3 linked regions of the Lytechinus pictus genome follow. The protein of the gene in region 2 interacts with the protein of the main gene of each other region in a pairwise test. Links are inferred from orthologs where the notes say so. Each region holds a gene or a part of one and is shown on either strand. Other genes may lie near its edges. The genes, in order: zinc finger C4H2 domain-containing protein-like, proteasome subunit alpha type-1-like and methylenetetrahydrofolate reductase (NADPH)-like.

What was found.
Region 1: the proteins of proteasome subunit alpha type-1-like (region 2) and zinc finger C4H2 domain-containing protein-like interact in a two-hybrid assay, tested with the Caenorhabditis elegans proteins (3 studies listed by BioGRID). The link is inferred for Lytechinus pictus from reciprocal best matches to the Caenorhabditis elegans genes pas-6 and vab-23.
Region 3: the proteins of proteasome subunit alpha type-1-like (region 2) and methylenetetrahydrofolate reductase (NADPH)-like interact in a two-hybrid assay, tested with the Caenorhabditis elegans proteins (3 studies listed by BioGRID). The link is inferred for Lytechinus pictus from reciprocal best matches to the Caenorhabditis elegans genes pas-6 and mthf-1.

What each region holds. Positions count from the first base shown.
Region 1 is NC_087248.1:18,903,189-18,914,294, forward strand, and holds the start of zinc finger C4H2 domain-containing protein-like, read left to right. Parts: upstream 1-6,530; 5' UTR 6,531-7,157; coding exon 7,158-7,189; intron 7,190-11,106.
Region 2 is NC_087263.1:7,347,926-7,359,095, forward strand, and holds the start of proteasome subunit alpha type-1-like, read left to right. Parts: upstream 1-6,542; 5' UTR 6,543-6,668; coding exon 6,669-6,671; intron 6,672-7,939; coding exon 7,940-8,086; intron 8,087-8,764; coding exon 8,765-8,868; intron 8,869-9,693; coding exon 9,694-9,782; intron 9,783-10,874; coding exon 10,875-10,945; intron 10,946-11,170. Other genes in the region: small ribosomal subunit protein mS35-like, read right to left, coding at 6,155-6,329. UniProt on the Caenorhabditis elegans protein: The proteasome is a multicatalytic proteinase complex which is characterized by its ability to cleave peptides with Arg, Phe, Tyr, Leu, and Glu adjacent to the leaving group at neutral or slightly basic pH.
Region 3 is NC_087258.1:5,054,007-5,065,429, reverse strand, and holds the start of methylenetetrahydrofolate reductase (NADPH)-like, read left to right. Parts: upstream 1-6,430; 5' UTR 6,431-6,584; intron 6,585-11,423.

The sequences.
Region 1 (11,106 bases), on a different chromosome or scaffold from region 2:
AAGACTTCTTTCGTTTGCGTTTACTTGTAAAAAGGTGTTAATTTGGAAGAAAGTTTCTTACCCCAATGCACGCATGTATGAACATCAAATGATTAAAGGGGAATGAAATCTTTGGAATAAATAGGCTTGTGATGAAACAGAAAAATTCGAAAAAACAGATCAACAAAAGTTTTAGAAAAATCGGACAAACAATGAGAAAGTTATGAGCATTTGAATATTGCAATCACTAATGCTATGGAAATGCGATGCAATGGCAATGCGACAAGGATGTGTGATGTCACATGTGAACAACTTTCCCTTTGATGGACTATAAAATACCCCCAAAATGTCTCTTTTTGCTTTTTCTCATGGTGATACAAACTTTTTATCCATGACGTATTATTAAAAAATCTGTATTACAAGCCCTCCTATAGAAAGAACACATGATCTACTGATAGATGTGATAAAAGAGGCAATTTAAGTGAAATATATTAAAATTACTGGGGAGAGTTGTTCACAAGTGACATCACACATCTTTGTCGCATTGCCAATGTGAGGATCTCCATAGCATTATTTATCGCAATATTCAAATGCTTATAACCTTCTCATTATTTGTCCGATTTTTCTCAACAATTCGTTAATCTGTTTCTTTGATTTTTCTGTTTTCACACAAGCTATTTTGTTCTAAAGGTTTCATTCTCCTTTAATAATTGAACATATTTTGAATGTAAACTGAAATTCACTGGAAAATGAAGTACACTGTAAAATATGAACTGATCTCACAACCCTATCTTTGATCTTCAAGAGGATGAGACACTATATTTCAGATCAAATGAAAGAAAGAGTTTAAATGGTTTCATTGATGTTACCTCATTTTGGTATGTGTAGTGCCTTCTTTTGGGATCTCAAAACTATATTTATCTTCAAGGAGGGATGATTAGACAAGGAAATAATTCCTGATTATAAGTGATTAGATGCTATCCCTCACAGAAATTTTCAAGCTTGCGGCATGCTAGTAGCTAGCATGCGGCTAGCTTAATAAGCGTGTAATATGCATGCAGAGTAATATTTAAGCGATCTTTTAGTGAGCAGGATCTGTTCGCTAGCATGCACTCGCTTATTAAGCGAGCGCCCTGCTAGTCGCATGCTAGTTAGTAGCATGCAGCATGCTTAAATTTCTGTAGGGGATATTTCAGATCAATATTCACTTGTACCCTGTTTAGAGGTGAATGATTCAATAATGTGAATTACAGTACTTAGTGTATCGTTTAAAATGTCAATTTTATGAAAGGGCAGTGACCATTCATGCTTGATTCCTGATTAAATTATGAATTTCACTTTTGAAAATATTTAGCACTATCTCTTGGTAATGTTTTATTCTTTTTTTTTCTTTTTAAAGACCCCTTTGAGTTTGAACACTTAACTTCTAAATATCTCAAAGCTATCAACATTTATTTTTATCCAAAAATTTTCAGCCCATTCCGTAAATTGCAAAATACATCCACTACATGTATTTGAACTTTTTATTTCATATCCTTTTAGCTGGAGACAGACCCATTCAGTAGAGCTGTCTGCACCAGCCCGAGTTTTCAAATTAGCGCGCTATTTCTGATCCGGCAAATTATCCCGATCTGAACAACCTCGAGATTGTTTGTAATGGAGGTGCAATTATCACGCTAGTTCGTAGAATTAATCTTGAGATTGCAATCCCAAGTCAACTTGGGATTATTTGCAAAATTGCGCGCTATTTTATGAATTATCGCGCTTATTCGTAGGTGCAGACGCACTTGGGATTAATTATTCACGGCGTCAGACCATAATGCATCGATGCCTCGCTCGAGCAGGAATCGCTCTTCTTTCGATGGTGGAGACAGGGTTTCTTGAATCTCGAGACTAATCGCGAAGAGGGCCGATCGGGCTAAAATCTCGAGATTGAGCAAACTCGGGCTGGTGCAGCACCGCCTAATGAAGTAATTAACTGAAACTATGAGTCATGACCAACCCTAGGGAATTACCAAAACTTATGAGAGACTTTAATATGAGCTTTTGATTATTTTGTAATTTAACCAGCCAACTTACAGTACAGCAAGTTGCAGGGGGAAAAGAAAACACTACATGCAAAAGGTCCACACAACACTTGTTGAATTCCCACAGTAGAAAGAGAAGGGGAGAAAGAGAGGGGGCGAGATTGCAGACAGGACCAGAAACCGGCGGATGTCAATATGGGTATCAGCAGTATACCCACTCCAAAGGGAGTGCTTTATATGCTGACATAAAACATAATCACTGTTTTGACTAACTGTAACAAAGAGAACAGCAATCAGATTTTAATTTAGTTTGAAATCCTCAATTTTCCCCAGGTTTTGCGTTGTTATTTTTTTGTGTGTGAAACCGTCGGTGTTTACTTTGAGAGAGTGCCGCTCAGGGAGAGGAGCTTGCTTCATTGAGTCTCATTCAACCTATGCATGAATGCTCATTGCATCTGTCTGGATTGGTGAAGAACAAGAGCGCTTTATCCAGCAGAGCTACTAAGCTTTCCCAAAGTCAAAATCAATCTTATTTGCTCCTCAAATATGGCAAAAATCATTGAATAAAAAAAAAACATTTTCATGATTTGAATAAATATTTCATATTGATATGACATCATCAAATTTAACGATAAAAGAATATTAGTTAACCGTAAAGATGCCAATTTGTATTTTTATAGTGAGTTTGTTATTTTCATAGCATTGCCAGTTTGGAGTGTGTAATGTTTTTAAAGCTCAAGTTCGATGGCTTTTATTCTATCGGGAGGGGGGGGGGGCGCATTGTGGTCTATTGGTTAAGACTTTAATCTTTCAATGTGAGGGACGTGGGTTCGATTCCCAGCCATGGCATGTTTTCCTTCAGCAAGAAATTTACCCACATTGTGCTGCACTCAACCCAGGTGAGATAAATGAATTCTGGCAGGAAGTAATTCCTCGAAAAGTTGTAAGCACCGTAATTGGTAGACTAGCCTAGCTGGGTAATATAGGAGCGCCTTGAGCAAGGTGGATATGTGCACTATACTTTATTATTATTCAAGAACAGCCACACATGCTGCACTTAGAATGGTAGCATTCAGCTTAAAGATGAACTGCAAAATGTCTGCTGAAGGAGACGATTCAATACATGAATAATGTTTCCAAAAGAAGGCACTGTACATAGTATGTCTATGGGTTAATATTCATGAAGCCCTTTTGTAGTGATATTTTAAATCTTACATAATCACTGATGATGTTTGTTTTATTTCACTTCAATACCTTAGTCAAATTTTTACAGCTAAATGCATAGTCAACTGATAAGTTGATATGTGGTATAAAATTAATTAACATTCCTCAAATTATTAATTGATTATGGTAGTTCTTATTTCTTAAGCTGTAATTAAAAATATTTAAAAGGGGTATGCATCTCGCCATGATTATAAAAGTGATTAGAAAAGGGTACATATCTAGCATTGTTCAATAATTGTTTCATCAATCCTGATATGAAAAGATGCATCTTTCATGAATTGAGTAATGACTGTTGCATTTGAATTTGGGAATTCTTCATTATTTTCATTATATCTTCCTTAGAAAATGCAATTTCAAATCAAGTTTCACAACTCTCCTTCAAGATCATTAAATAGAAATGTCATCTGCCTATAGTCTTTGTCAACTTCTAAACTTCAGTGCATACTACACCCAACAGAATTACAGGTTAGCAGACATGTAGGCCTACAATATGTAACTCAGAATACCCTCCTCCATATACCCAAAATCCAGAATGTTTCAAGTTTATTCCTGAAAAGACTTTTGTTAAAGTTAACCCCCCACTATACACCCTCTTTTCACCCTCTCTTTGCCCCTCTTTGTAGGAGTCAATTGGTTGTTCACACCTGCAACCCTTGTATTAATCAATCCCCTCTTTCATAGAACGGCTAATCCCCCTTTTATCCCTGTTCATCTGTTAGCTCAGCTCCTTGATGAGACAACCTAATTAATGGCTTGATTTTAATGTCTGACTTGTTGTTATCTGATATGCCCTTCAAAAATCAAGGGTTGACAGTGATTTTTAATGTTCTAATAAATCTGTGTTGGGTCCTGTTTATTACAGTGTCCACCTCCATGCTGTGTCTGAGATGTGATGTAAAATGAAGCTTCAAAAATGCACTTCAGAATCAGGATGTAGTGTTCATAAAAGTGAAAAATAAACATGGAATCACTCCCAACTCCCTGGAATAATCTTCCCCATTTTATTCCATGTACTAAAATGTGACCGACTATCGAGCACCATGCAACTGAAAGATTATCTTGGTTTTTGTTTTCAGTTACAGATATTAATTTGAAATTATCTGCACAAAGTTGATTTGCTTTTTAATATCTCCTTGGTATTTTTAATCCATGTAAAACACACATCATAGTTATGGAATTTTTTATAAAAAAAGACCCTTTATAATTTTACCCATTATGTCTTTAAAGGTCAAGTCCACCCATGCAAGAAAAAGGTTGAGTTGAATCAAGAGAGAAATATTAAACAAACATATTAAAATCTGAAAATTTCTTCAAAATTTCACAAATCAGTTATATGCACAACTCAGTGATATTTTAATTAGAGTTGATGATTTCCCTCACTCATTATTTCTTTTTTTATTGCTTGAATTATACAATATTTTAGTTTTTACAGATTTAACAATAAAGACCTCATTGACTGAACCATAAAATGTTCGAACACTGTTAATTGCACATGTTCAGAGAGGAATAAAACTTTGTTTCACATGACAGTGAGGGGGAAATTAAAGCATTACATATTTTATATAATAAAATACAAAAGAAATGGTGAGTGGGAGATTTCATAATTGCATATTTGTATACTGACCAGTATGTGAATAGAACTTTTTTGTGAAATGAAACAAAACTTTGAAATTTAATAATTTTCTTTTTCTACATCAGATTTTGATGAAATTATCAGTGTTATATGCTTGCTTGATTTTTCTCTTTTTATTCAAATCAACTTTTATTGTGGCAGGGTGGATTTTTACTTAAAAAATGGAGTATCTTTATGTATTATCAATCTATCCTTTTCTATATCTTACATACATATCCTCTAAATATTCTCTTTTTTGTCTTTTCAAATTAGTTTGAATTGTGAGTCAGTTTTTACTCTGGAACCAGAAATGGGTAGAAGTGATGGAAGTTCAACTGCATTTCAACACAACTTTGCGTTTGTCCCTCATGCAGAATTGTAGATTGATATTTCAGGCTCAGACATAAATGTTACAATTCGCACAAATTTGTGCAATCTGAAAAGTCTTTTCAAACCCAATCGGCAACAATCAAAACACCTAAGTTGCATTTAATATCATATCTGCAAAAAGTATCTCAAAACACGTTTTGAGAACGTGATTCTTTTTACCGCAGAAAAGAGATGATAAACGCACCCGGGGAGAGCTATAAGGTAGCTCGGAAGACACCAAAGAATGACGGAGTGTAGGGATTTGTTGCCAGATAATGCTCGGTGGTTGGTAGCTCGCCTCCGGCCTGAATAATTGATGGAGGTGTTAACGGCCTGATTGGGGGCATTTTATCCTTCCCTGCTCAGTGATTTGGGAAGCGAGCCTCCTGTTGCCCCGTATTAACCCGTCGGCTCCCAGTCAGTATCAGATTATCCCCGGATAGATCAAACTGTCATCGTTCGCCTTTCCCTCACTCTTTTATCTCTTCTGTCATTTTATTAAGGACAATTCTAGATTGGAAGTATCATGGGTACTTGAAATTGTTGCTAATGTCATTTTTAATATCTGTATTAGTAAGCGATAGATAGGAGTGCGATTGTTTGATTTCATAAGACAAATTATATTAATATTTTTTTTATCATTGCGGCAATAATATATTCTGTACTCATGTATATTGTCTACAAGTATGCCATAAGGGCATTGTTTGTCAAATGTTATTCATATCAAATACTTAATGACAAATGTCACCATCAATATTTTTTTTTAACATTTTGAAATGAAAAACAGTACGATTTTGAGACAAATACCTGTAAATAAAACATGTATTGCTTAATGCATATCTTCTTTCAAATGAAACAGATTTTTTTTTTAATTGATGAATTTAAGTGGGTCTTGAATGAAAAATGTTCGTCAACCATCTCTTCTTGACTATAAACATTTAATACTGATGTTATTATACAAAGAGAAGGAGGGGGCAGGATGAATATCCACGAGCTGGAAAATGTTCCCAGGTAAGTCACTTTCAACAGCATCGTGACTATAAACACTTATACTAGGAGTAAAAGAAAAAATGATAAATATCGATGAAACAAAGAAAATAAATTAGACAATCAATTTCAAGAAAAGGAGAGAAGAAAATATGGAGAGGGGAGGGTGGGTGAAAGAGAGAGAGAGAGAGGGGGGAGACAAATAGAGAGAGAAGGGGAAGGTGGTGGATTGGCTTGCCAGCCAGCCAGCCAAATTTGTTGCTTATCCGACAGGCCCCTCCCCCTTTTCTGCGTCTGGGAGACTGTACTCCCATGTTCATGGTCTAGCAGACAAGACACGCGAACACAAAAGACCCCAGCACTTAGCCAACACATGAACAATCAGGGCATGCAGCAGCTGAGCTCTATTCAAGTAGGGTCGATTAGTGATTGCATTGACCAAGATTGTTCATTTTATCCACTGCTCCGGCTCGATCAAGAGGAAGGTAGAGGCTCGCTCGTGGGGGATGGTGTCTGAAAACTTGGATCTTATGAACGGCATCCATCTCTTTTTTCCCATGAAGAGTCATTGTCTGAGCTATCCCTGTTGCTGTAATTTTTTGGACCACTGTTGCACTGCTTCTTAGTGGATCTGACTTGCCACTTTCTTGCTCCAATATCCTATCCCTTTGATGCTGCATGTTTTGGACGACTCGTTTGAGGCCCTCTCCTATGATTAGTAATTGTCTTTTTCCATTATCTACCCATTTTTCTGCAAGTTTTGGACCAATGTAGCACTGCTTTTGTACAGGACTACATCTTGACTATTAGCCATTCTGTGACTATTAGCCATTCTTATGGTCCTTTATATACCCCCTTTTATTGCTGCAAGTTTTTGGACAACTGTTGTATAGTCTTTAGGACGACTTTGAGGAGGGGTTATCTGATATTCGAAACTGTTATCAAACGGAGGAAACAGGATGAGTATCCACTTGCTGGAAAATGTTCTAAGGTAAGTGACTCTCAGCAGCATTGTGACTGAGCGTAGAATTATCAAGAAATTTGGCATCAAGATGATATTTTTAAAGGTCAAGTCCACCCCAGCAAAATGTTGATTTGAATAAATAGATAAAAATCAAACTAGCATAACACTGAAAATTTCATCAAATGCGGATGTAAAATAAGAAAGTTATGGCAGTTTAAAGTTTCGCTTATTTTTCACAAAACAGTGATGTGCACAACTCAGTGACATGCAAATGAGTCAGTCGATGATGTCCATCACTCACTATTTCTTTTGTTTGTTTATTGTTTGAATTATACAATATTTCATTTTTTACAGATCTGACTGTAGGGACCGACTTGACTGAACCATATAGTATTAAACAATGCTAATTCCATATGTATAGGGAGGAATTAATCGCTGTTTCACTTGACAATGAGGAGAAATTTAGAATATTTCATATTTCATATAATAAAATACAAAAGAAACAGTGAGTGGATGACGTCATCAGTCTCCTCATTTGCATACCGACCAGGATGTGCATACAACTGTTTTGTGAAATTAAGCGAAACTTTGAAATGTCATAACTTTCTTATTTTACATCCGATTTTGATGAAATTTTCAATGTTATGCTTGTTTAATTTTTCTCTTTTTATTCAAATATTTTTTTTGTTGGGGTGGACTTGTCCTTTAACTGCCCCAAACCTTTGAAAGAAAGAAAAAACATACTGAAAGAAATACTGTATATTGCAAACAACTGGCTATCGTATTATCATTCCCCATCTATTTTTTTGGTAAGAGGCATTCTTTGCTTTTTCAAAGTTGGTTTCAATAACTGTTGTTGATGATGAAATTGCTCATCAGCTTGGAGTGATCTCAAAAGGAAAGTGAACAATGATACAATTTTTCCCAAAGGGATGGTGTATATGAAAGGTGTATGTTTTGTCAACAATACTCTCATTGAATATGCTAGTTTCTTCTCACATTTTGAATTGCAACATATTAATATAAAAGCTTAATTTCCTTCAATATTAAGGGATATACATGTATGCAGAGCTATTCAAACTATAACGTTATACCAAGTTGGTAGAGATTAAAATGCATCATACCTGGGCATTACTTTTAATTAAGAAAATGAAAAAAGGATGTTCTCATATACCGTAAGGGTACTAGTATTCAACCCGTTTGGAGAGTTTCTTCAAATATACAGAAATATGGAATTTACCTGAATTTCAGACCTGTCTTATTTCCAAAAGCAAATGCTGGTTATTCTTTTCCCGTTATTTTTTTCTTCAACCCGTCAACTGCGTGCGCGGGCGATCGAATTTTACGGCGACGGTTTTTGGTACTAGTATTCAATCCGTCGGTACTAGTATTCAACCTAGTGATGAAAGATGGCCCTGTCTCTCGATCTGCCCTTGTCCCATCCGACTATGGACTAGACCATTTGAGATGAGACCAAACAGGGAATTAATCAAAGCCAGAGACTTCCATAGATCTAGATCTAATTTAGCAATCTAAACCCTTTTGAAATTTGCTATCAATCCTCACTATAGGTTGAATACTAGTGCCATTCAGTGCAAAAGGCCATCGCCGCATAATTCGATCCTCCGCGCATACAGTCGACAGATTGATAAAGAAAATACCGACAACAGATTACCCTGGAAATAACAAAGGTATGAAATTAAGATAAATTCCCTATTTCTAAATATTTTGGGGAATATGTCAAAATCTTTGAATTATGCCGGGTTGAATACTAGTGCCCATACGGTAGTGTTGTTTCTAAAAAAATCTAAAGTGAATAATGTTACAGCCCCATCAAATGGAAACAGAGAGTAGAATTTGAAGAAAAAACATCCCATGGTTTTCATATTTTCTGATTCATGTTCATTCAATTTCAAATATGAATTAAAGTATGAGATGGTTTCAATATAAAATGCTGTCTAGAATACTGTGAAATAAAATACTGTCATATAAAAAGATTCCTAGTTTGAATTTAATCTAGTGGCTGATGTTTGTTCTTCGCGCAAAAGAGACTTGGATGCATGTTTTTTTGCTACGGTCCCTTTTCAAGCATCATTTGGTCGACACTTGAGTAATTGGTTCTTGTTATCAAAGAGACTTTTACATAATGCCCACTATCTATTATACATATAATTTGTTTGGTCTGGGGAATTGCAACCATGCCTATTGTATTCTGGTTATTGTAAGAAAAAAAAGTGTTCACTGACAAATGTGAAAAGAAAATCAAGGAGAAGAACCATTGTTTGATAAAATATTCTGTTAGCTATGAAATGTTTTGGTAAAGTAAATCTTAAAGAAATTACTTTTAATTCACAAAACAAAGTGCTTTTATTTCAACTTCCATACTTGCAGCCCATGTTATTATAATTGTGTATATTTTGTTATCATTAATTTTGTAATCACTTGCATAGATCTGAAACATGATAATTCATGGATGATTTTTCAAGAAAGTTCATTTGTGAAACTTGTTGATCACATGTATTTTGTAATTTAAGCATATTATATAATATTGACTGGCCTTTTATTGTATGTGCGGCATTGCGGTCCGACTGTTGCCAGCAACAGACTCATATTGGCCCGAGTATTTAGACGAGGGCAATATATTTGATGTTTCCTGGAGAGGGCAACATGGCAAATGTTAACCCTGTTTGTCTCAAATTGAAAAGTAGCGAGCGAAATATGACATTAATATCTGCTAAAATGCCTTGTATAGGTAATTTATCATATTTATTTAATTTTTTATGTTTTGATTCACACTTTGCATATTTTTTGAGGGGGTACACTAAAGTGGGTCAATAACATGAATTGCATCCAATCTTACAATAGTGTATTGCCCTTAATATTTTTTTTAATCTGTTAATTTCTTTGTTGAATGTTTCTTCCTCTTATCTAGCTCACTCTTGGTTGATTTAAAAAAAAATTCTTTAAAAATGGCATTTGATCACTTGATTTTTATGATGATGACATACATGTAGCAGGAAATATCTTGAAATTTCCACATGCTACAAGAATTAATTTTTACATCAATAGAGAGAGAGAGAACAAAATATGCAGATAGGGCACACAGTGACAACCACCCCCAATAAATGTACTGTAACATACTTATGCATTGAATGTTAATTAACCACAGTCCTTTCAAAATTGTTAAAGAATATTGCTTTGACATATCTGTACTTTGGTTCGATTTTCATCTAGACTATTGTATAAAAATCAAATCAGTGATCATTGTACAAAAATGCAAAAGTATGTATAGAAGTGCTAGCATGACATCCAGTACATGTACATACTGACAAAAGATACGGCTCATGAATTTCACACGATATTTCCATTTATTGATTCTGCTAAATATTCAATATTTATTTTGTTTATTGTTAAGCATTTTAAACCAATTACCCCAGATAAAGACCACCTGTACATGTATGTCAAGGCAATGACAGATTGTCAAATTGGGTAATCATTCCAGTTGAAAATGTAAAAAGTTAAACATGCAAACCTGTTTAGAACTGCTATTGATTCTCAAATATGTAGTCGGTTTAAAGCTCTTTGTTAAGGGTCATTTATCTGAATTATCAAATATACATGTAGCATTCCAATAAAATGCAAGTGTATTGTCCTTTCAATCTGTGTCAACCATTATAATAGTTCTTTTTAAAAATTCATAAATATTATATTTCAAGATCTCTAGCACTATCTCTCTCTCGCTCTCTTTCCACAATGTTTATATTTTCTTTAAAAGGGAAAATCCAAAAGCTAAACACGAAGATTGTCTCCAGATTATTTTCAACCCATTCAATAATTGAGAAGAGGTTTTATATCAAAATGGAAAAAATTAATATGAAGATATTTTTATTTTGATCTGGCATCCATTCTAAAAGTATTTTAATGTACATGTATGTTCAAGGAAA
Region 2 (11,170 bases):
GTTTACATTTGCTGCGAAAGGATTACCTTGGCGGCAAATAAAAATGTGATAAGCAGATTCCTCATGAAAAATTACCCCTTTTCACCGTCTACTTTAAATATTCACCGTCTACTTTTGTTTTGATAAGGATTTTTGTTGTCAATCACACACAAAACAAATGGGCTTCTGACCTCAGTAGGGCCGTCTGCACCATCCCGAGTTTTCAAATTCATTCATAAATTGGCTCTCGGCAGTGGCTGGATGACGTCGTGTAATAAGCGGAATGTACACGCCCGATAGCGTTGAACGCTCCGCTATCCGTTCTACACAATTTGCCACTGTGTCCTGGCTACATATTACCAAACACTTTCATGAATTCAGTCATATCAAACATTAATTTTATAAAATTCACCAAACTTTCACCATTAATACACAATTACCTACAAAATATAAATATGTAAACATTTTGCGGAAATTGTTTACGTTTTACGATATAAAGCTTCCAATCAGACCCCTCTTCGCATGTGATATATTTTGGACACCTGAAAAAGGTATCATTACCAGTAGAGGCGCACGGCCAATATTGGAGACTGTCTCCAATGTGGGAGATTATCTCCAATATCAGAGACTTTTGTAAAGAATTTGGGTATCCAATTTCAGAGACAGTCTCCAGTTTTGGAGTCCAATTTCCTTTGTTTACATTTGCTGCGAAAGGATTACCTTGGCGGCAAATAAAAATGTGATAAGCAGATTCCTCATGAAAAATTACCCCTTTTCACCGTCTACTTTAAATATTCACCGTCTACTTTTGTTTTGATAAGGATTTTTGTTGTCAATCACACACAAAACAAATGGGCTTCTGACCTCAGTAGGGCCGTCTGCACCATCCCGAGTTTTCAAATTAACGCGCTATTTCTGATCCGGCAAATTATCCCGATCTGAAAAATCTCGAGATAGTTGGCGGTGCAGACGCAATTATCGCGCTAGTTCGTAGAATTAATCTCGAGATTGCAATCCCAAGTCAACTCGGGTTTATTTGCAAAATAGCGCGCTATTTTACGAATTATCCCGCTAATTCGTCGGTGCAGACGCACTCGAGATTGGACTCGGGGTAATTTATTCATGACGTCAGTCCATAATGCAATTCGCGTTCCACTTCCGCCTTGGTCAAAACATAAACACGTGCGAAAGTCAACTATATACATGCGAATAGCGTTCATAAGCAACGATGGTGTCCCACCAGTGAATGGATTTTGGGAGAGACCAGACCGAAGGGGGAGGCGCTCATCGACGATGGTTATATTCAATAACAACAGCAAAATGTGAGCAAATAGCATTTCTTTCCTCCTTCTCTCCCTCTCTCTCTCTCTCTGTCGTTGCCTCCTACTCCGCCATCATATTTAACGAAGAATACATCACTTCTTCACTCGCTGAGCTGAGAGGATTGTTGCATAACACCGGTTGAATTCGGCGAAAGTGCTAGTGAAAGGAGTACATTGCTTGCATATCGCGGGAAGTTATTCAAAAGCGCGGGTCGTTGAAACTCCAAGATCCGAAAGTGCGCATGCTCGTAATATCGGGCTTGTTGCCTCGCTCGAGCAGGAATCCCTCTTCTTGCGATGGTGCAGACGGGGTTTCTTGAAACTCAAGATTAATCGCGAAGTGGGCCGATCGGGCTAAAATCTCGAGATTGAGCAAACTCGGGATGGTGCAGCACCGCCTAGTGAGACAAAATTTTGGGTGGAAAAAATCATGCTTTTGTTGGTGTTGTTTCTTTTGTCCTTTTGCAAAGCAAGTCTCCAATGTGGGATGTGGGAGATTGTCTCCCCTATTGGAGAGAGTCTCCCATATTGGCCGTGCGCCTCTACTGATTACCGAACGTGGGTTTTCTATGACTATGTCTATGGCATGGGAAAAGTTGAGAAAACAACAAAATCACTGATGAGCTGCCTACTCTATTTTGACAATATTTTATTATTTTTAGAAAGACTGAAAACTCAGCTCAGAAAAGATAAATTTTGAATTTTGACAATTTTTCATCATCTTTCTATTCAAGTTCTTTGGAAGCTAAGAGTAAGACTAAGTAGACCTAAGTTATGTTACAAAGTCAAAGACAAGTTTTGAGCAGTTTCAATGACAGTTTACCGTATGAAATTACTTATTTAGACTTAGTGCCCGACCTGGCTTAACGGTCGGGCACCCTGCAAAATCTGAACATACCAATGCCTCAAGTGTTCAATCCCAGCAAAGAAACTTGTTGATGACCAACGATCCAAACAAGGCCCACTCTCCGAAGCAGGTTTTTCTTCCGGGCCGAGCCTCAACAGCAACACATTTAACAATGCTGGAATCAGCACACCATTTTCTCTTGAGCGCATCCCAGCTTCTGGCAATACCAAGTGTAATGAATCATCCTCCATCACTACAAATGATTGTCAGCCACCACCAGCAGATCTTAAATCTAACACAGTCCAGCCTCAACCTCCTACTTCCTCGGCAGCCTCCAAGCCAGTTTTATTAGGAACCTTCAATACCAGAGGGTTCAGAAGCGCAGAACTTATGCTGAAGCATATTTTATTAGACATTGATTTACTGTGCATACAGGAGCATTGGCTCCATGACCACAATTTGGATTTACTTAATACACCAACTTCAGAACACTATGTTCTTTCTAAATCTTCTGAGTACTTGTCAAATATGAACATTGTACATGGCGGAAGAGGGAAAGGAGGCGTAGCTCTGTATCTCCGCAAAAGTTTGATTACATCATACACTGAAATAGTATGTCAGTCACCGAGACTTATAGCAGCCAATGCCTACCTTGCATCTTCGAATGAAAGAATACTCCTAATTAACTGCTACCTTCCGAGTGGCACCTCATCTGCTGATCTCACTGAGTACCAGGCCTGTCTAGCAATCATCACGCACTTACTAGACACTTATGTGCACCAGGCAAATAATCTAACCACTGTAGTGATTGCTGGAGATTTTAATGCCGACACAGTACATCAGAACAATAAAAAGACACTAGGATATCTAAGATCTTTCATGAACTCTGTTGTTTTCCTGAGTGCCACAGAGGAGCACTGTACATCTGAACAGTTTACCTTTCAATCAGATGATGGGAAGAAGAGGTCAAACATTGATGGATTCCTGATACCTTCATCTGCGCTATCACGATTTGGAGTTGTATCTATAAAGGAGGATGACCCTCTGAATACATCCGACCACTTTCCAGTCACCATCACATGGGATCCTTGTACCCCTCAGTCCTCTCTTAAGGAGGAAAAGAAATCGCCAAGCTCTTCCCCTCACAAATCGGAGAAAGTTTCCAGAATAAAAATAAAATGGGATCAAGTTGATCACAATACTCTCCAGGAACTCTACACAGTACCTTTGGAAGAGATAGCAATGGATCTATTTACCAACATAGGTGACTGTGAAATTCTTGGTAAAGAGGCTGAAGCAATCCTGTTGTCTCTCTCCCAAGCAATGGTTCAGCAGTCAAAAAATCTCCCTCACACTAAACCTTGCCAAAAACGTCTCGGTAAAGCAGAATGGACAACGGAAGTTGCTGAAGCATATTCTGAAGCAAATCATGCATGGAAACGCTGGAAAGACAATGGAAAGCCCATAGGAGTATCTCTGCATGATGTCTACCTCCAGTTGAAGAAAGTATTCAGACAAAGATTGAGACAGGCACGTGCCGTAGAACACCGTAGGCTCCTGTCCAGCATCGAATCTGCATCAACTGGAAACTCAAGGCTATTCTACCAGCTGATCAAGAGGCAACGAACCAACATCACAAAACGTCAAACAGAAGTGCTTGAGTACCAAGGCTGCACATACGAGAAAGGTGATGTAGCTGCTGGTTGGAAGTGCTACTTCACAGATTTGGCTCAACCTACACTGAATGCCGAAATCTCTCAAATAACAATTCATGATAAATTTGAACCTAATGAGGTTGTCCCAATGGTACAGGAATCAGCCCTCATTACCTCTCATGAGCTTGATGTAGCCATCGCCAGCCTCAAGAAAGGGAAAGCTAGTGGACCTGATGATATCAGCCCAGAACACATCAAATATCTCGGTGCAACTGCAAGGCGTCTTATACTTCTAGTCTTCAACTCCTTCCTGGTATCGTCTTTTACCCCTCAAAGTCTGAAGAATGGACTTGTTCTTCCTTTACACAAAGGAAAAGGCAAAGATGTGAAAGACCCAAGAAACTATCGTGGAATAACCCTGACTTCTACCTTGTGCAAATTGATTGAACTTGCCCTTAAACCAAGGATCCAGCGCTCCCTTGAAGAAAACAATATTCCAGATGAACTCCAGTTTGGTTTCCAAAAACATCACTCCTGCATCCTGACCTCATGTTGTCTTGAACTCATAATTGAACTTAATTCTGCAAACAAAACCCCCACTTTTGTTGCACTCCTAGATGCTGAGAAAGCTTTTGACAAAGTTTGGCATCAGGGTCTTTTCCATAAGCTAGGGGCCACAAACATCCATCCTGTACATCTTAATATGATCCAGTCTCTGTACAAAGATCTTCAGAGTCAAGTCCTTTGGAATGATGTAGCAAGTGAGCCCTTTCCAATCTATCAAGGAGTAAGGCAAGGGGGAGTTTTATCTCCACTCCTCTACATTACATTCATTGATGCACTCATCAAACGTCTACGCAGCAGGAATCTTGGCTGTAATCTACTAGGTCGATATTCTGGTCTTGTAGTCCTTGCTGATGATGTAGCCCTTCTAAGTAATTCACCAAGTGAACTACAATCTATGCTTGATGTCACAAACAACTATACAAAAGAATGGAAATACAGAATCAATCCATCCAAAAGCTGCATCATTGCCTTCAATGATAGTAAACATACCTCACAGCAATATGCCTGGCATCTGGGAGAGGACCCAGTGCAAACTGCACAAATGCATCCTCATCTTGGCATTATAAAAACTAGCACAAGGAGAGATCCAACTGAGGACATGATTGCAAAAGGTCTCAAAACCTTTTATGCTCTCACTGGAGCTGGTGCATATACAGGTGGCCTCCTACCACAACACTGCGCAACATTATGGAGAGTGTACTGTATCCCCCGCATGCTCTTTGGAGCCGCGGTCATTAACTTTACAAAGGGTATGTTAAAGAGACTCAACCAGTCACAGCTTCAACTTTTCAAGCAGATTCTTGGCCTACCGAAGTCTGCAGCTGATGAATCGGTACACCTTTTGACTGGACTAATACCTATCAGTGCGCAAGTGGACGTTGTGAAGCTTCAGTTGATAGGACAGTTACTTGACCTCCCTCACGAACGCTTCGAATATCGCACCTTTCTTCATGCCCTCTCCAAGCAAACGGTTACAATCAGAGCCTGGCAAACTATCCTTTTGAAGTATAACCTACCAGATCTTCAGTCACTTACACTGGACCCAATTCCTTACTGCCAATGGAAGAAAACAGTAAAAATGGCAGTAAACAATGTGGTCATACTTGAAACCATGGAGGCAATCCAAGCAAAGAAAACGCTCTCATTCTGGACCTCCATCAACATGCGGAACCCCTACCACTTGTATCCCCGCTGTGGCAGCTCGAGATTTCTCAGGCAAGCAGTAATTGTCAGAGCACAGCTACTAAGCCAGACATATCCAGTGCAAACAAGACTTGTTAAAATAAAGAAGACCACAATAGTCGAATGCAGGCTCTGCAAGAAAGAAGCAGAAGATATTGTCCACTTTATAGCAACATGTGTTCACCTAGACACTCATAGACAAGAATTCTGCAATAAGCTTAGAAGTAAACGCCTGCCAGATGAAATCTACTCCCTCTATGATACAACCAAAGGAGATGCATTCACAAGAGCGGTGTTACTCCCATGCTCTCTTTACCTCACCTCCCAACATAATGATGTGCTTATTTCGCTTACATTGACTTTCCTTTATAAACTCCATATTAGCCGTATTACATCTCTTTCCTCTCTGTAATCATTAACTGCTGATGGACATTCTTTATGCAGCACCTTGCTGTTGATCTCCGATATAAGCGGAGGAAGAAGAAGAAGAAGAAGAAGAAGAAGAAGAAGGTTAACCACCCTCCACCTTACAGCTACAATTACAAACACAAATAAACATGGGTGGGACCACACCACAACATTGGCAAAAATAACAGACTCACTTTCAATCTCTGAATCTACATCTGGTAAACTTGTTGATACCAGCGATCCGTAGGAATCTTTATTCTTATTCGCTGTAGTATATCTGGACACCCCAACGAGCTCAGCTTGAGCAGGAATTCTGCAAGTGCAGCTCATTATGAGAGCACGAAAGTTGCCAGACAAAACAACCGCCATGTTTTTTTTTCTTTTCTGTTTTTTTTTAGATCTTTATCAGTTAGTCTACATGAAAATGATAATTTTTTACCAAAAGAAATAAAATAATGAGGTAAATATTTGAAAAAAAATATTTTACGATTTAAAATATTAAATATTATTTCGTTGTTTATAAAAATAATTTTAAATGCGAAAAATTTAGAGAAAATTATTTACTCTTTGATCTTCAAAACTACTCAGTAACGTTAGGTCGAATCGATCGGATCGGTCGACCGGTCGAGAATTTTGCTTGCTCATGTTACGTCCCCCGAACGTTGAGAACTTCAACTCAAAGATCTTACAATTACATTATCAATCATTATGGTATGTTATTTAGTTATTATACAGTTTAAAGTATGGTGTATTGCATGCCCTTTTGAAATTATTCCAGTACAAGTGATGAGAGAGAGAGTGTGTGTGACTGAGTTTGATTTCAGTAGCGGCGCCGGTGCAGTGCCAGTGGCAGTGAGCGGTTTCTTCAATGAATTTGCCCGGGCTCCCCCCGGGCATTAGGAGAGGTACGGTACCGTACCAGTAATATGGGACCCATTGACTTGTCATTGACGATAGCCCTGGCCTGGGGCCGATTGCACAAAAGGGTCTTTCCAAGGATATACATGTATAGTTGCAGCAATAAATAAGCACACTTAATCAGTTGTTATTCCAATATTTTTGCTTCTTAAAGGAAAAAAATGGATGAACCTAATTTCATACAATCAAATGCAAAAGAACAAGTGGGAATGTGACATCAGTTTGCTCATTGAATACAGCCAGGTCTCTTCATGAGGACATGCCTAGAACTGTTTCAACAGAATAATGCAAATCTTAAAAATATCATAACTTTGTTATTTCTTGTCCGACTTTGATAAATTTTTCATTGTTTAGTTTGTCTGATTTTTTTAATCTGTTCAAAACATTTTTTTTTTCAGCCTGGAGTAGGCCTACCCCTTTATGATTGCAAGCGCAATGAATTGCATCATATGATGTAAAGAGTACATTTTGAACGCTACATGTGCAACGGTACAGATGTTTGACATGCAGCCTCGTACATGTATTTGCTTGCATGCAACAAGCTATTAAAGTAGGCATTTTCAAAGACACTACAAGGGGAAGACTAGACACACAATAGAGCGCGCAATGAAACGCTTGGGAAGAGTGCCCTACAGCCTTGAGTTTAAGTAAACCTTTGCCCGCCTTCGCGTATCGCCATTTTGGGTTGTATACAAAACATGGGGGAAATGGTGGAGGGGTGGAGGAATATACAATTTTTCCTTTTAAGAAAAAAAAATCTTCAATTTTTTTCTCAAATTAGAAATTAATATATTTTAAAGTTTTCTGTGTAATAGGTGGAATTACTCCCATGCGCTACCCTTTTACCCTCTTACAAATCCTCTCTCATTTTCCCCATATCTTTTATATACAGTCGCATGCTGATGTGTGATGGTTACTTACTCAATTGATGCTTTTTTGTACATGCCCTTCTCCATGAGCGAAATCAAGTGTTTCAAAAAATTGCCGAAGTGTCCGGTCTTCTCTGTAGTGTCTTTGGCATTGTACAATATTGATTATTACTATGATGATTATTATTTCAGTTCCGTAACCAGTATGACAACGATGTGACTGTATGGAGTCCCCAGGGGAGGATTCATCAAATAGAGTATGCCATGGAGGCCGTCAAGCAAGGCTCTGCGACCGTAGGTCTCAAGTCCAAGACCCATGCTGTGCTCGTGGCCCTCAAGGTAACTGTTCTGGTTCCATGACAATTACTCCCCTCTAAGTTGCACACACCTATTGAATAACCAACTTCAACCCTGGGTTTAACACTATACCCTACCCTAAACCTAACATAAAACCCTATTGCAACCCTAAGATGAATTTAAGCCTAGAGCAAGTGTCGCAGGAGAAAATGTTGTGTCACCGCTGTTCTTGACCCTTGTATGTAGACAGCTGATATCTGTGTGTTTGGAGGGGTTTAGACCAAAAAAAAATCACTCTTGTGGTTTCACCTACAACATGCACAGACAACTAGCCATCTGTCATACAGTGTGAGGGAATACTTTGTACCATGTGTTCCTCACTTCCAAAAATATCCCCTGGAAACTCCATGTAAGACTAGAAGTTTGGTTAGGGTTAGTGTGAAATTGTCAAATGGTACAGCCTATGATCAAATCATCCAAGTTGTAGTGGTTTTTGTACAATAGGAAACCTGCCCTGAGTGTCCTGACATTAATTTGGTTTAAATAAGCAGAATAATATTAAAGAGAAAAATTTGTGTGTGTGAGGGTGTGTGTGTGAATCCATGAAAGAATATTAAAAGATATGTAGCCCTGATTCTTTGGATTTCTTTCTATATAAATCGTGCAGTAACGTACATTGTACATGTATTTATACTATGATTATTTCCTTTCCTTTTTCAGAGAGCTTCGTCAGAGCTGTCCTCTCACCAGAAGAAGATTATTCCTATTGATGATCACATCGGTATCTCCATAGCTGGGCTCACGTCAGATGCCAGGATGCTAAGGTATGGGCAAATGGACAAACTTAAATGCCAGCTGTAATATCGATTTTTAAAGTGAATGTTAACAGAATACAAAATGATTATTTAAGTGGTATTCATGTATATAAGTATGTAGTGAAGCAATATAGGCCAGTCAGTAGAAAATGTGTAGATACCTAGACATGGACAAGATATAAAGCCTGGCATTTGTGTTTGGCCACTTCCAAGCATTATGGATATGCTGCCCCACATGTACTCATTCATGTTGGTGATATATTCAGTGTGGTCGCTTTTCAGCTGAGATTTCAAGACCACAGTATAGGTTTATGTACACAAATCAGATCTACGTGTAAGTAGATACTGTATATACTATGGTATGATGACAATCAACCTACAGACTTTCACATGAGATCAGTGTTGCTGCAACTGCATTATTTACCTTTAACCTTGACTTTAAAGACATTATCATCAAATCATCATTTGCTGCAACTCCAGGATCTGTGTCTTACCACTTACTGGAACTCCTCTTTTACAAGGCTTATATGAATCGATGGCCATCTATTAAAGGTCATGGCTATTGATGTACCATTGACTGACCTCGTCGTCCAGCTCATTGGCCTTTGCAATTTTTTTGTTTTATCCTTTTTACTTTTTGTACTACAAGCAGTCTTATTCAAACAAAATTCGGTTACTATATTTTATGACACTTTTGAGAGAAAGTTGAAAAGATAGGACGAAAAATTTTATGTCTACCAAAGTGCAGTATATGCTTATTCAATTGTTTTTGTGTAATGTTGAATTTTGAAGCTGTGTACTTTTTTTATCTCTCTCTCTCTCATCCTTTTACAGCAAATTCATGAGAACAGAATGTCTGAATTCCCGCTATGCATATGAGACTCCGCTACCTGTTTCAAGATTAGTTTCCGAAATCGGCAACAGTATCCTTTGAAATAGATGTTCATCTTTTGAGTGTTATTTCTCCATGGGACATAATTGCTCGTATTCTGAAGTCAGGTTTTACTTAGACCATGTTCTAACTCTGCTAAAATTATAGGAAGCCAAAAGTGCCGAAATCTTTATAAAGTTGTATTTTTCTTATGTTAACTGTGCTCTTTCCTGATTCATCGATGGTGAAGACAATCGTCTATGTATACTTCCTAGACAATTATGAATGATGTGAGAGCCAAATGAGCTGAAATGTGACATCTCTACTGTTTTAGTGATTTATGTGACAATTGTCTATCCATACTTAAACCACAACTTCAAACCTGACTTTAAGTTAAACCCGACTTCAGACTACGGGCCTATGTCATTAAAGTTTGCCATACACTGATGATATGGATTAAATGATAAGCTAAGATCTATCATGTATGACTGGGCACCCATTGCATGAAAGTTACTATTATGCTAACTACCATGGTAACACTGATCAGCAGCCAATCAAAATCAATGATTCTATGCAAGTTACAACTGAATGGCCAAGTTACCATAATGGTAGCCTTTATGCAACGGGACCCAGTCATTTATTACAACAAAAAATGTGCTAATGGCCGGTATCGATGACTAGTTACATGAATATCAGGGGAAAATTCCACCAAGCTCAGCGCGATTTAGCCCCCAAAATACTCAACAGAGCCCTGGAGACTCTAAAAGGAGCCCTGGAAAGTCAATGTTAAAGCTCATGTCCATTGTTACAGATATGGCAGTAAGTTGTGAAAAGTTGCCCCCGAAAATATGAATATATCATTTTGCCCAGGTGTTAGAATAATTACCCAGAATTGTTAACACTGAAATGGTCCTAATCTCCTGAGCTACATGTATGCCTTGGGCACGCACCTTGTGCATATAATTGTTACCAGTGTCTTCAGTGATGTCTATTTTGTTTCTATATTGCCCCCTGTTATCCCTGTATCCTGAACCAGGTGGTCCCTGTATAAAATTTATGAAAGCTATGAAAGAAATTCAGTAATCAGCAGGTTAACATTTTTGCTATCTGGAATATCATATTTTCTTTGACCAGACTCGCACAGAATCTCAAATTAACACACAGAGGTATGGACGGAGGCCATATGGTGTAGGACTTCTAGTGGCTGGGTATGATGTAAGTATAATATTCTATGGTACAAGGTTTTAGATATTAGTCCCATGAGGGATATAACAAGTGGGTTTACAGTTGAAAACCATTTCGAGCTTCTGCCCAATGCTTTGAGAAACTTTGCACAAACATTGGTTTAAAAGTGCTGACATTCAAGACAGATCTGTTTTATATGTTTTGTATTGTGTTGTCATGGTGATAGCCTGTTCCTCACATAAGTCCGATGTGAAA
Region 3 (11,423 bases), on a different chromosome or scaffold from region 2:
GCTAAGACGAATGTTTAACCATGGTCTTGTAACCAATGTTTTTACACTTTCATTAAACCACGGTTAAAACCATGTTTGGTTATATAACCATCATTTTTAAACTATCTTAAAACCATGGTTAAAATCATGGTTTATAACCGTCGTTTTCAACCTTGCTAAGACGAATGTTTAACCATGGTTTTGTAACCACTGTTTTTACACTTTCATTAAACCACGATTAAAACCATGGTTATATAACCATCATTTTCAAACTATCTTAAAACCATGGTTAAAATCATGGTTTATAACCGTCGTTTTCAACCTTGCTAAGACGAATGTTTAACCATGGTTTTGTAACCACTGTTTTTACACTTTCATTAAACCACGATTAAAACCATGGTTATATAACCATCATTTTCAAACTATCATAAAACCATGGTTAAAATCATGGTGTATAACCGTCGTTTACAACCTTGGTAAAACGGAAATTTAACCATGGTCTTGTAACCACTGTTTTTACACTTTCATTAAACCACGGTTAAAACCATGGTTATATAACCATCGTTTTCAAACTATCTTAAAACCATGGTTAAAATCATGGTTTATAACCGTCGTTTTCAACCTTGCTAAGACGAATGTTTAACCATGGTCTTGTAACCAATGTTTTTACACTTTCATTAAACCACGGTTAAAACCATGTTTGGTTATATAACCATCATTTTCAAACTATCTTAAAACCATGGTTAAAAGCATGGTTTATAACCCTCGTTTTCAACCTTGCTAAGACGAATGTTTAACCATGGTTTTGTAACCACTGTTTTTACACTTTCATTAAACCACGATTAAAACCATGGTTATATAACCATCATTTTCAAACTATCATAAAACCATGGTTAAAATTATGGTGTATAACCGTCGTTTTCAACCATGGTAAAACGGAAATTTAACCATGGTATTGTAACCACTGTTTTTTTACACTTTCATTAAACCACGGTTAAAACCATGGTTATATAACCATCATTTTCAAACTATCATAAAACCATGGTTAAAATCATGGTGTATAACCGTCGTTTTCAACCATGGGAAAACAGAAATTTAACCATGGTTTTGTAACCACTGTTTTTACACTTTCATTAAACCACGGTTAAAACCATGGTTATATAACCATCATTTTCAAACTACCTTAAAACCATGGTTAAAATCATGGTGTATAACCGTCGTTTTCAACCTTGGTAAAACGGGAGTTAAACCAAGGTTTCCTAACCATTGTTTTTATACTACTGTGAAACCATGGTTACAACCATGGTTAAATTACTATGGTTTTTTCACCAAAGTAGAAAGATGATTTTGTCATGGTTTTATAACTATTGATTTTAACTTTCTTAAAACTGTGGTATAATGATGGTTTTTATAACCATGGTTTTAAAATCGTCATAAAATGACATTTTTATCATGTTATTATAACTATGGTATTTTAACAATGGTATTACCACACTTCCGCCACACATTTACCTTGGTTATGAATGTAAAACCATGGACTACCATCGATCCATTGTAAAACCGCCCCTAACCATGGTTATACCATGATTACGGTTGTAAAACCATGGTTTTTTTTTTATAAGGGTATGCTTCTATTCATCTTGTTAGTTTATCCAAAATGATGTTCGGAAGTGAATTTCAGCGTAGATCCAATTTAATATTGATACTGTATACTCAACAACAACTGAGATCATTGTCTGTCCAGTTATTCATTTACTAGAACTTGAAGTTGAAGACATGACCAAAAAATTAAAAGTAGTGGACGATGCGATGACCAACACAGAACTTGAACATGACAAGAAATGCATGCTTTATAGTACATAATCATGTACATACAATGAGCATATTAGAGCGCCTTGAGCTTGGCAAGAGTCAAACCGAAAGTAGCCCGACACAACAGTGAGGTCATAGAATCATGATTGTAATCACGATATCGTTTATTCGAACATTTTCGTACGTGATTCTGCAGAAACGTCTTTCCAAACGCCCCTTTTTTCGTGTTTCATGTTTGTGATTCTAATCATGATTATATTCAATTTCGACTAAACGCAATCGTGATTCTGCAGAATCATGATTTGAATCATGATTCAGATCATGATTCTAGGGTAAAAAAGTGGCGGATAAACGCACCCCAACTACGAAAGTCATATCTGCCTGGTCTTCGGATGGCAGAATAATAGCCTTACTTCCAGCAAGCGGAGGAAAAACTGTCAAACGTTTGATCAGGGCTGAGAGTGGTTTGGACACTATATGAATATATAATCTCTTGATGTATCCCTGATTAAACAGGACTGATATTACTGATGAAGATTTTAATAAATGCAGGGTTGATTACATATTAATCATTAATTTTCATGGACCTGATGTAATCCTTCGTTATCTACAACTAGAACTCTTGTATTAACTTTACGGCTGTATTATTTTTATATTGAATAGTGTTTTAACATTTTGTTCTACTTTTATGTAGTTTTTAGCTAATGGTGAAACAATTTCCTTGCGTCAGTGCCTTAAAAGTGTAAAAAATACTCAAAGAGCTTTACAATGTACTGTCTGTAAAAAATGGGTTTACACAAAATGTGTTAAAATAAGTAATGATTTATATGATGATCCTATATACTCAATTGTTTTTAGACTGGCAATGTACCAATTGTCTTTTCAATTACTTACCTTTTTTAACTGGTGAATTTGATAACATTTCATGTACCACTCACACTAAAAGTAATGTGAATGTCAACACTTCTTGCTTATCAGAAATAGGAAACCCGTTGCAATTTGATTGCTTACAAAGTACAGGTCTTAGATTTGTACACTTAAATATTCGTAGCCTCCTTCGGAACATTGATTAAATAAAGTTATTATTAGAATGTAACAAAATACATGTACTATATAGCACTGAATGAAACGTTTTTAGATGAATCAATATTCAATAGTGAATTAAATATTGACAATTATCTCCTTATCCGTAGAGATAGAAATCGACACGGAGGTGGAGTAGCTGTTTATATCCAAAATTCGTTATCTTTTGAAGAAATTGATTATAAAGTAGAGAACTCATTAGAAATAATTTCGTTAATGATACGTCCAAAGTTTTCAAACCCAATTATTTTTAGTACCTGGTATCGACCACCAAACTCTCATCTTGATATATTCCAGCAATATGAAAACTATTTATCATATCTTGACCGTTTTAACAAGTATATTGTCATAATGGGTGATACCAACTGTGACATCTTAAAGTCTCCATTATCGACTGACACTGAACGTTTACAAGAAATTCATAACTTATATTCTTTAGATCAAATTAATAGAACCGACTACACAAGGGTCACATGCAATTCAATGACTCTCATAGATCATATGATTACTAATTCACTTGAAAATATAAATAAATATGGTGTTATTCACATTGGTATCAGTGACCACTCAATGAGTTACATGATATAGAAATCAAAACATGAAGACGCTTCTCGAATGATTAACTTCAGAAAACTATCTGGTATTGATCTAGAAGCGTACATGGAAAGATTAAATAACCAGTCTTGGCACGAGATACTTAATTATGATAATATAAATGAAGCATTTATCAAATGGGAAGAACTTTTAATGTCAGTTGTTGACTATTGTACGCCTATCAGAAGTAGAAGAATTCAGAGTAAAAAATCGCCCTGGATGAACTCAGAAATACTTAAATTGATTCGAGAAAGGGAGAAATTGAAGAAAAGGGCCTTAAAAAGTAAAGATGAAATTAAAATGATAGAATATAGAAAGATCAGGAATAAAATCACTTGCCAAATTAGGAAAGAAAAGAAAAAATATTATAATGATCAAATAACAAAACTAAAAGTAAATGCTGGAAATATATGGACTGTTATGAAATCATTATTACCTTCTAAGAAATCAAATTCTGTGATTAAAACTGACAAAGAACAAATATTTGAGCAAAGTGAGAATTTTAATAATTATTTTGCAAATATCGGGGCTGATTTAGCATCCAAGATTCCTATTTGTTCTGGAATAGTGCCGGAGCAATGTAACCTGGATTCATCTTTTTATTTTACAGCAGTAACAGAAGAGGATGTTTCAAAAGAGATTAAATTATTAAAAATATAAACCTTCTTCTGGTATAGATGGTATTACTGCTCAAATACTAAAAATGTCTGCACCAGCCATACTTCCATCCACTAGCGTACCTACGGGGGGGGGGCAGAGGGGCAGTCTGCCCCCCTGACGAGCCACCACCCATGCAAAGCCACCACCCATGCATGTATCCCTGCCCCCCCCCCCCCTGACGAGCTTGAAAGACCTTTTTGCCCCCCCCCCCCTGGAAAATCCTATAGGTACGCCAGTGCTTCCATCACTTACTTATTTGATCAATAAATCACTACTAGATAGTACGTTCCCACATAAATACAAGATAGCAAAAGTTATTCCAATTTACAAATCAGGTGATAAAAATGAACCTTGTAACTATAGACCAATCTCCATTTTATATTTCAAAAATTATGGAAAGACTTGTATCCAACCAACTTAAATTGTACATGAAAGAAAATGAAATACTGATCTGTGTGGATCAGTACGTCCGTCCGGATTCAGAAAGAAACACTCAACAATGACTTCTCTTTTGAAAGTCACAAGGCAATGGACGAGGGTCTTTATACATGTTATACGGGGCAGTATTCATCGACCTGAAAAAAGCCTTCGACACTGTGGATGTTAAAATACTTGTGAAGAAGCTAGCAAAGATTGGTGTTTCAGAAGATGCTTTGCACTGGTTTGAGAGTTATTTATGCAACCGGATTACCGGAATATATGTACATGTATCGAGAATATTACATCAAACGTCTCAAGTATAGAGTATGGGATTCCACAGGGTTCAACCCTAGGGCCAATTCTCTTTACGTTATACATAAACGATATCAATAAACATGTAAAATATTGTAAACTGCATCTGTATGCAGACGACACAGTTATTTATTTTTCTGGAAAAATATCAGTGAGATAGAATACTACATAAATATTGATCTACATAACATATATGGTTGGCTGTGCCACAACAAACTAAGCCGTAATGTTGATAAAACGAATTCTATGCTTTTTCGAACTAATATTATGTTATCAAAATGTGCAAATATAAATGTTGAAATATCTGATAAAACTATTAAGCAATCTAACTCTGTTAAATATTTAGGCATGTATCTCGATCCAAAGTTGAAGTGGGATACTCATATTGAAGAACTATGTAAGAAAACTAATAAGCTTGTCAAATATTTAGCACGTCTAAGACATTTCGTAACTGAAAGTAATCTAAAATCATTGTATAGTTCAGTTATACTTCCCTTATTTGATTATGCTGATATTGTGTACGAATCCACAAATAAGAAATATACTAAACGTCTTCAAAAAATTCAGAACAGAGCTGGCCGTATCATTTTGAATGTTCATTAAACCGCAAAATCGAATATCAAATAGAGAAATACACCAACGACTCGAATGGAGGTCATTACAATCACGAAGAAATATCCATATATATATACAATGGTGTTCAAATCATTGAACGGCCTGGCTCCATTATACTTAGCAGATTCATTTAAATATTGTAATTACTCATATAATTTAAGAACCGTAGGTAATGTGATTATGCCCAAACCAAATACAGAAAATTGCCGTAGAATGTTTATATATAGAGGTTCACGCCTATATAATGACTTACCTTTAGATATGAAATTATTTTATCAAAGACTTAACTACATTTATTACTTATTTGAGCTCTAAGATTTCAAATTACATTGATCTCTGAGCAACACGTTGTTTTGCCGGGAGGGGGTGGGGTGTATTTGCTTGTAGCTTGAACCAGTATACATCTCTATGGCTTGAACTCATAACTTTAAATTTTGTTTTATGTCTATTGTCTAGTTTTCATTACTTTATATTGTGTTTAACAATGTTCTTTTCTGTTGTTAATGATGTTTATAATACAATCTGATCTATTTTATTATGTTCTGGACCCCTAGGCAGAACAGAGTGGTAATAATTTCCACTCTGAATGGGCAATCCAGCCATTCCTATGTATTTATTTTATTTTGTAATTATATCTGATGTATTTTGTTTGTATTTTGCATGTTTTTATGAATGGAAAATAAATACAATACAATTATTACAATTTAAAAAAGACGTTTAAAATGCATGCCTATATTAATTTTACCCCCAACTATCCAAGCTCAGCGCTGAATGCGCATCATGCTCTTGACTTTGTAGGTAGGTGGAAGGGGTGGAAGAAATGAACATGAGTTCAATTCGTGATGTGATATTCCAATCAACCTTTGATTCTGGTGTGATAGACGCATTCGGATATCGATACAGCTGCATTGAACGGTGGTTTCGCTGTAACGTTAGAGGGCGCTCAACGAACTGCACTCTGATATATATATGCCGAATTGCGAACGGCATAAAATTACGCTGCGATGTTCTTTGGGTCTCTTTCGCTTCTCAACCTTCGCCGAACGCACGTCGAAGCACCTGCTGTATGTAAACGAGATATCGTAGTCTTGTTCTGCTTTGTTGTACAGGCACGTATCTTCTACTCTTCAATTTTTATAGACCCTTTCGTAAAGCTAAGCCTACTTTGGTTTATATTGTGAAGTTTGTTGGCCAATTTGTTTATTGTTTTCACCATTATGCATTTTTAGGGAGGAAACTTGCAACACTGCGCCGCGCAGAACACAAAGTCAGAAAATTGCACGAAAATTTTAGAGAACTGAGTCTGAGATCTAACTTAGCCTTAGCCTTAGGTACGGTACGGTAACTCAAGTCTCTGTGTGAACAAATTTAGACTAGCTTTTTCGATCTGCGGTATCAACAGACAACAACAACAAATGTCCTTGGCCGGTGTAGCGGCGGATTTGGTTCCACCGGCGGATACCGTATCCGCCGGCAGATATCGTTCTTAATGGCCGATATCGTTTTTAACCGGGTTTAACGCGGCTTGATGTTTGCAGATTTGGTTCCTCGGCGGATTTGGTTCTATTGACGATACGTGTAATATTTATTTGGACAGACGTCCAACCTCGGCAGCGCGCGCATGCGCGGCTCTGGCAATGTCGTTACCAATGGGGGGGGGGGGATTTTCGTCCGCCTTTAGACTTTTAGTGAATTTTTATTCAGGGGCGGATCCATACAGCTTTTGACGAAGGGCTCGATGGGGGTGAGGGAATAGGAGAAACAATGACTCGATATATCATGTATACATAGACCTGGCAGTGGCACATGCGCCAAAACTTTGCTATTTATTATTATCAGATTTTGATGAAATTTTCATCATTTTGTTTTGTAGGCCCTACGTGAAAATTTATACTACTTTCAGTCCGCAGTATGCATTGATATCTTTAACTGTGCTTTTTCACACCGTGATTAGTGTAAGTTTGCCAGACTGGCGAAAATTTGTACCCCCATATAGGCCTATGGTTTTTATAAAACTACAGATTTTCAACGAGTTAAAACTTCATAATTTCAAAATAAATGAGGCAAATTAGTTTATGAATATATATTGCTGTTAACTCATATTATTGCTTGTAGAGTGCTAATTTTTTGTGAAAACATTAAAAAAAAAGAATTTCAAAACATGATTAATATCTTATGTAGTTTATTGTAGGCCTATTTTTAATTTGTCATGTATTTTTTTTATTTGTTTTTTTTTATTCCTTTTTTTTCAATATTTTTGTTAAGGAATCTGAATTAAAGGGATGGTCCGGGCTGAAAATATTTATATCTTAATACATAGAGTGGAATTCACTGAGCAAAATGCAGAAAATTTCATCAAAATCGGATAAGAAATAATAAAGTTATTGAAGTTTAAAGTTAAGCAATATTTTGTGAAAACAGTCATCATGAATATTCATTAGTTGGGCTGATGATGTCACATCCCCATTTTCCGTTTTCATATGTTATCACACAAAACCATATTTTTTTCATTTATTTCATACTTGTGTGAATAATATGTCTCCCTTATAATGAAATAAGTTGCAGCAATAAATATCTAATGCACTAAATCAGTTGTCACTCAAAATTTTCTAGTTCTTGGAGGAAAAAATTTGAATAAACCTAATTTCATATAATAAATTACAAAAGAACAAGTGGAGATGTGACATCATCAGTCCACCTAATGGATATTCATGACGTAACAGGCGGGGGGGGGGGAGTTGCCCCCTGGCGGATTTAACCAGGAATAAAAGAAAAACGGGAAAGGAAAAAAAAGGAGGGAGAAAGAAAGGGAAAGGGGAATGAGGGGAAAAGGAAAGGAAAAAGTGAAAAGAAAACGAAGAAAAAAACCCTTTTTAACGGAAAAGGAAGGAAATCGGGAAAATGAACGAAAGAAGAACATTTGAGAAAGAACAAATCATTCCAAAACAGGCATAATTATGTAATGCAATAGCACGGTGGGAAATAAATTAAAAGATGACAAAATGGCAAACAATAGCGCGAAACGAAGGTAAAATGCAATTAGTCAAAAGCTAATTTTTGGAAAACAAAGAAAAGGGACAAGAAAAAAAAATAACACGACCGGGCTTCCGATGATTGAAATTAAAGAGCAGGAAGAAAGATGGACTGCATACAACATTGTGCTATATATAAGCTAGCTAAATTTTATGTAAATAAGCTACCGGGGCTTTGCCCCAGACCCCACACAGCTGTAGGGGCTCTTCATTTATACTGAACCTCAAATTGCTCTATAACGCTTCCCGTTCACAATCACGTTCAATTACTGCACATGCGCGGGGGGGGGGGGGTCTTGGTTCCACACCCAAGAGAAATATAATAAATTAAAGGAGACAAGGTATAATGAAATGAATGGAAACAATGAAATTTGTTAGTTGCTGAATCTAATGGAAAAATCAATTACATAATTCGAATTTAATTTCAAAATGCATTTTTTTTTCCAGCTCGATCGCTTTGCGACTTTTTACAGATTTTTCCCACATTACTATGTTTTGCCCCTCAAAATATTTGGTTCATTACGCAACTGGGTTGAATAAATGTGTTTTGTAAAAGCTATATCCTGTACATGCCCGCGATTTGATTAAAATAGCGGCAATCTGCGAGGAAATGGCTTTGATATAAAAAATTCCGGACCCCAACCGCACAGCACTGCGTATGGAAGGGTTGGGCTATGATCCCAAAAAGTTCTACAAACAAGAACAAAAAGAAAGGAGGAAAGAAAAGCAAAGGAAAAGTGTAGAATATGATTTTATTTACTGAATATAATGCCAAAAAATAGCTCAAAGTTAGATTCTTCTTTGTGTGCAGTATGTGAATTTTGTTTCATTTATTGTAAAGCGCGTAGAGAAACTTTCAGTTTTATGCGCTATATAAGGGAAGTATTATTAGTAGTAAGTCTGTTTATATGTATACAAAACTCTAAATCATCTAGCACCTGAATATCTTAATAATACCATCAAATTATACACACCCTCTCGTAATCTTCGTTCAATCACTGACACATGCAGACTTTGCATTCCCTTGTCAAAACTCTCCTCTGCCGAAAAACGGTTTGCTGTAGCAGCTGCCAAGACTTGGAATACTATCCCTCTTTCAATAAGAAATGCTTCCAGTGTTCTTGGCTTCAAATCTTCCCTTAAGACATACATTTTTCCTCAATAATTAATTTCCCTTTTTATGTTGAATATTGTAGTAATTATTGCAAATGTTGAATTGTTATTCCTACATTGTACGCGCTATGGTACGTTTTGTTTTTAGCGCCTCTAAATACCCATTATTATTATTAGTAGTATTATCATGAAAAGGTGATTTTTTTTCTCGCTGGCTTCGTTCGGGACTTATATAAAGCAGCTTTTTAGCTCATGTGCTATACTGCGCCCCTCGTTTTTTTTTTACACTTCACGCTACTGCCGCAGAATCCTGTTCACAGTGGCGTATACAGACCACCAAAAAAAAAGGAATCTAAAGAGAGAAGAGTGAAAAATATTATTCTCTTCGCTTCGCTCACTTTTTTTTAAAGATAAATTATGCCCGATACGCAATATCTGGCCTTTTCAAAATAATCGCCTCATTACACAAAATTTTTGGCTCTCCCCCCCCCCCCCTGCTACGCCGCTGACTCAAGATCCCTTCTCTACACATGCCCATCATCCCTCCTCAGCACGTCCCCATACCAACGCACGACGTTCGCCTTTGCCAACTGGTCCTTCGCTTCTTCCAACCCTAACATCTTCATCAAGTCCTCAGTCTTCTTCCTGTCCATCAACTTCATCCCACATCACTCTCACCATTGCTCTCTCCTTGCCCTCCTTAAGATCCCCATCTTATTTTTGTTCAAACACATGTCTCATTCCCATATAACATCACCGATCTTACACAACTCTTATACACCATTCCTTTCATCTTCAAAGGAATTCTTTTCCCACATAGCAGCTCTCCACATTCCCTAAACTTAACTCTCCCAAACTTTGCTCTAGCTGTCACAGATGCCTCACACCCACCACACCATAAATGATCATGAAAAATACATTTCCTTAAAAAAAAGGAGAGATTTGGATCCCTCAATATCGCCTGTACTTCTGGTGATACTGAATAATGGGATATATCACGTGTGATTTCATCACAATTAAGGTGTAATTGACACAAGTCATAAACATTTACAAAACACATCAGAACAATACTCTAAAAGTACCATTTCGGTGTGAACCCTTTTATTTTGTTTCTTTACAACTTTGATTCTTTCATTTCCACTTTAATGCATGTAAATGAATATGAAGAAAAGCTTAACCTTTATACAGTTACATAAAACATTTTCTCACTACCAGCATTAGCTAATTAATGTCCATCCAATATTTTACTACAATAGCCGACAGCGTCACTAATGTGTCACATTTGAGTTTCAAGCAACATTCCTATATTACAAAGGTGTAATGGTCCTTGGATTTATCTACTGCTACCATTCAAAGTTTTATTTTTTTTTTAATAGTAAAAGTAAAACTGCATTATTTTTTAGTTAAAACTACTGCTTGGAAATACTTATTGCAATTTTTTTTTTTTTAATGGATATTAGAATAGAAAATTCAACCTCAAATTTTCAGCTGATTCCATGGCTGAATATTAAGTTTAACTAGAACTATCTCTGACGGTGAATAATACCCTCGCCATACGCTGTAACCATGGCAACAGTTTCACACATCTGAAAAAATGTCTTGCCAAATATTACCCAAGACCAAGATATTTGCCTAATTTATTTTACTCATTGTTACCATGTCAACATGGTTTTCAACACATGGAAAATGTGTCCTGCACATCTTAACCTCAAGACCAATGTATATTGGTTGAAAATCAATAAAGTAATTCAAACCATTACCATGGCAACACAATTTCCTTCACATACAAAAAATGTTTCTTGT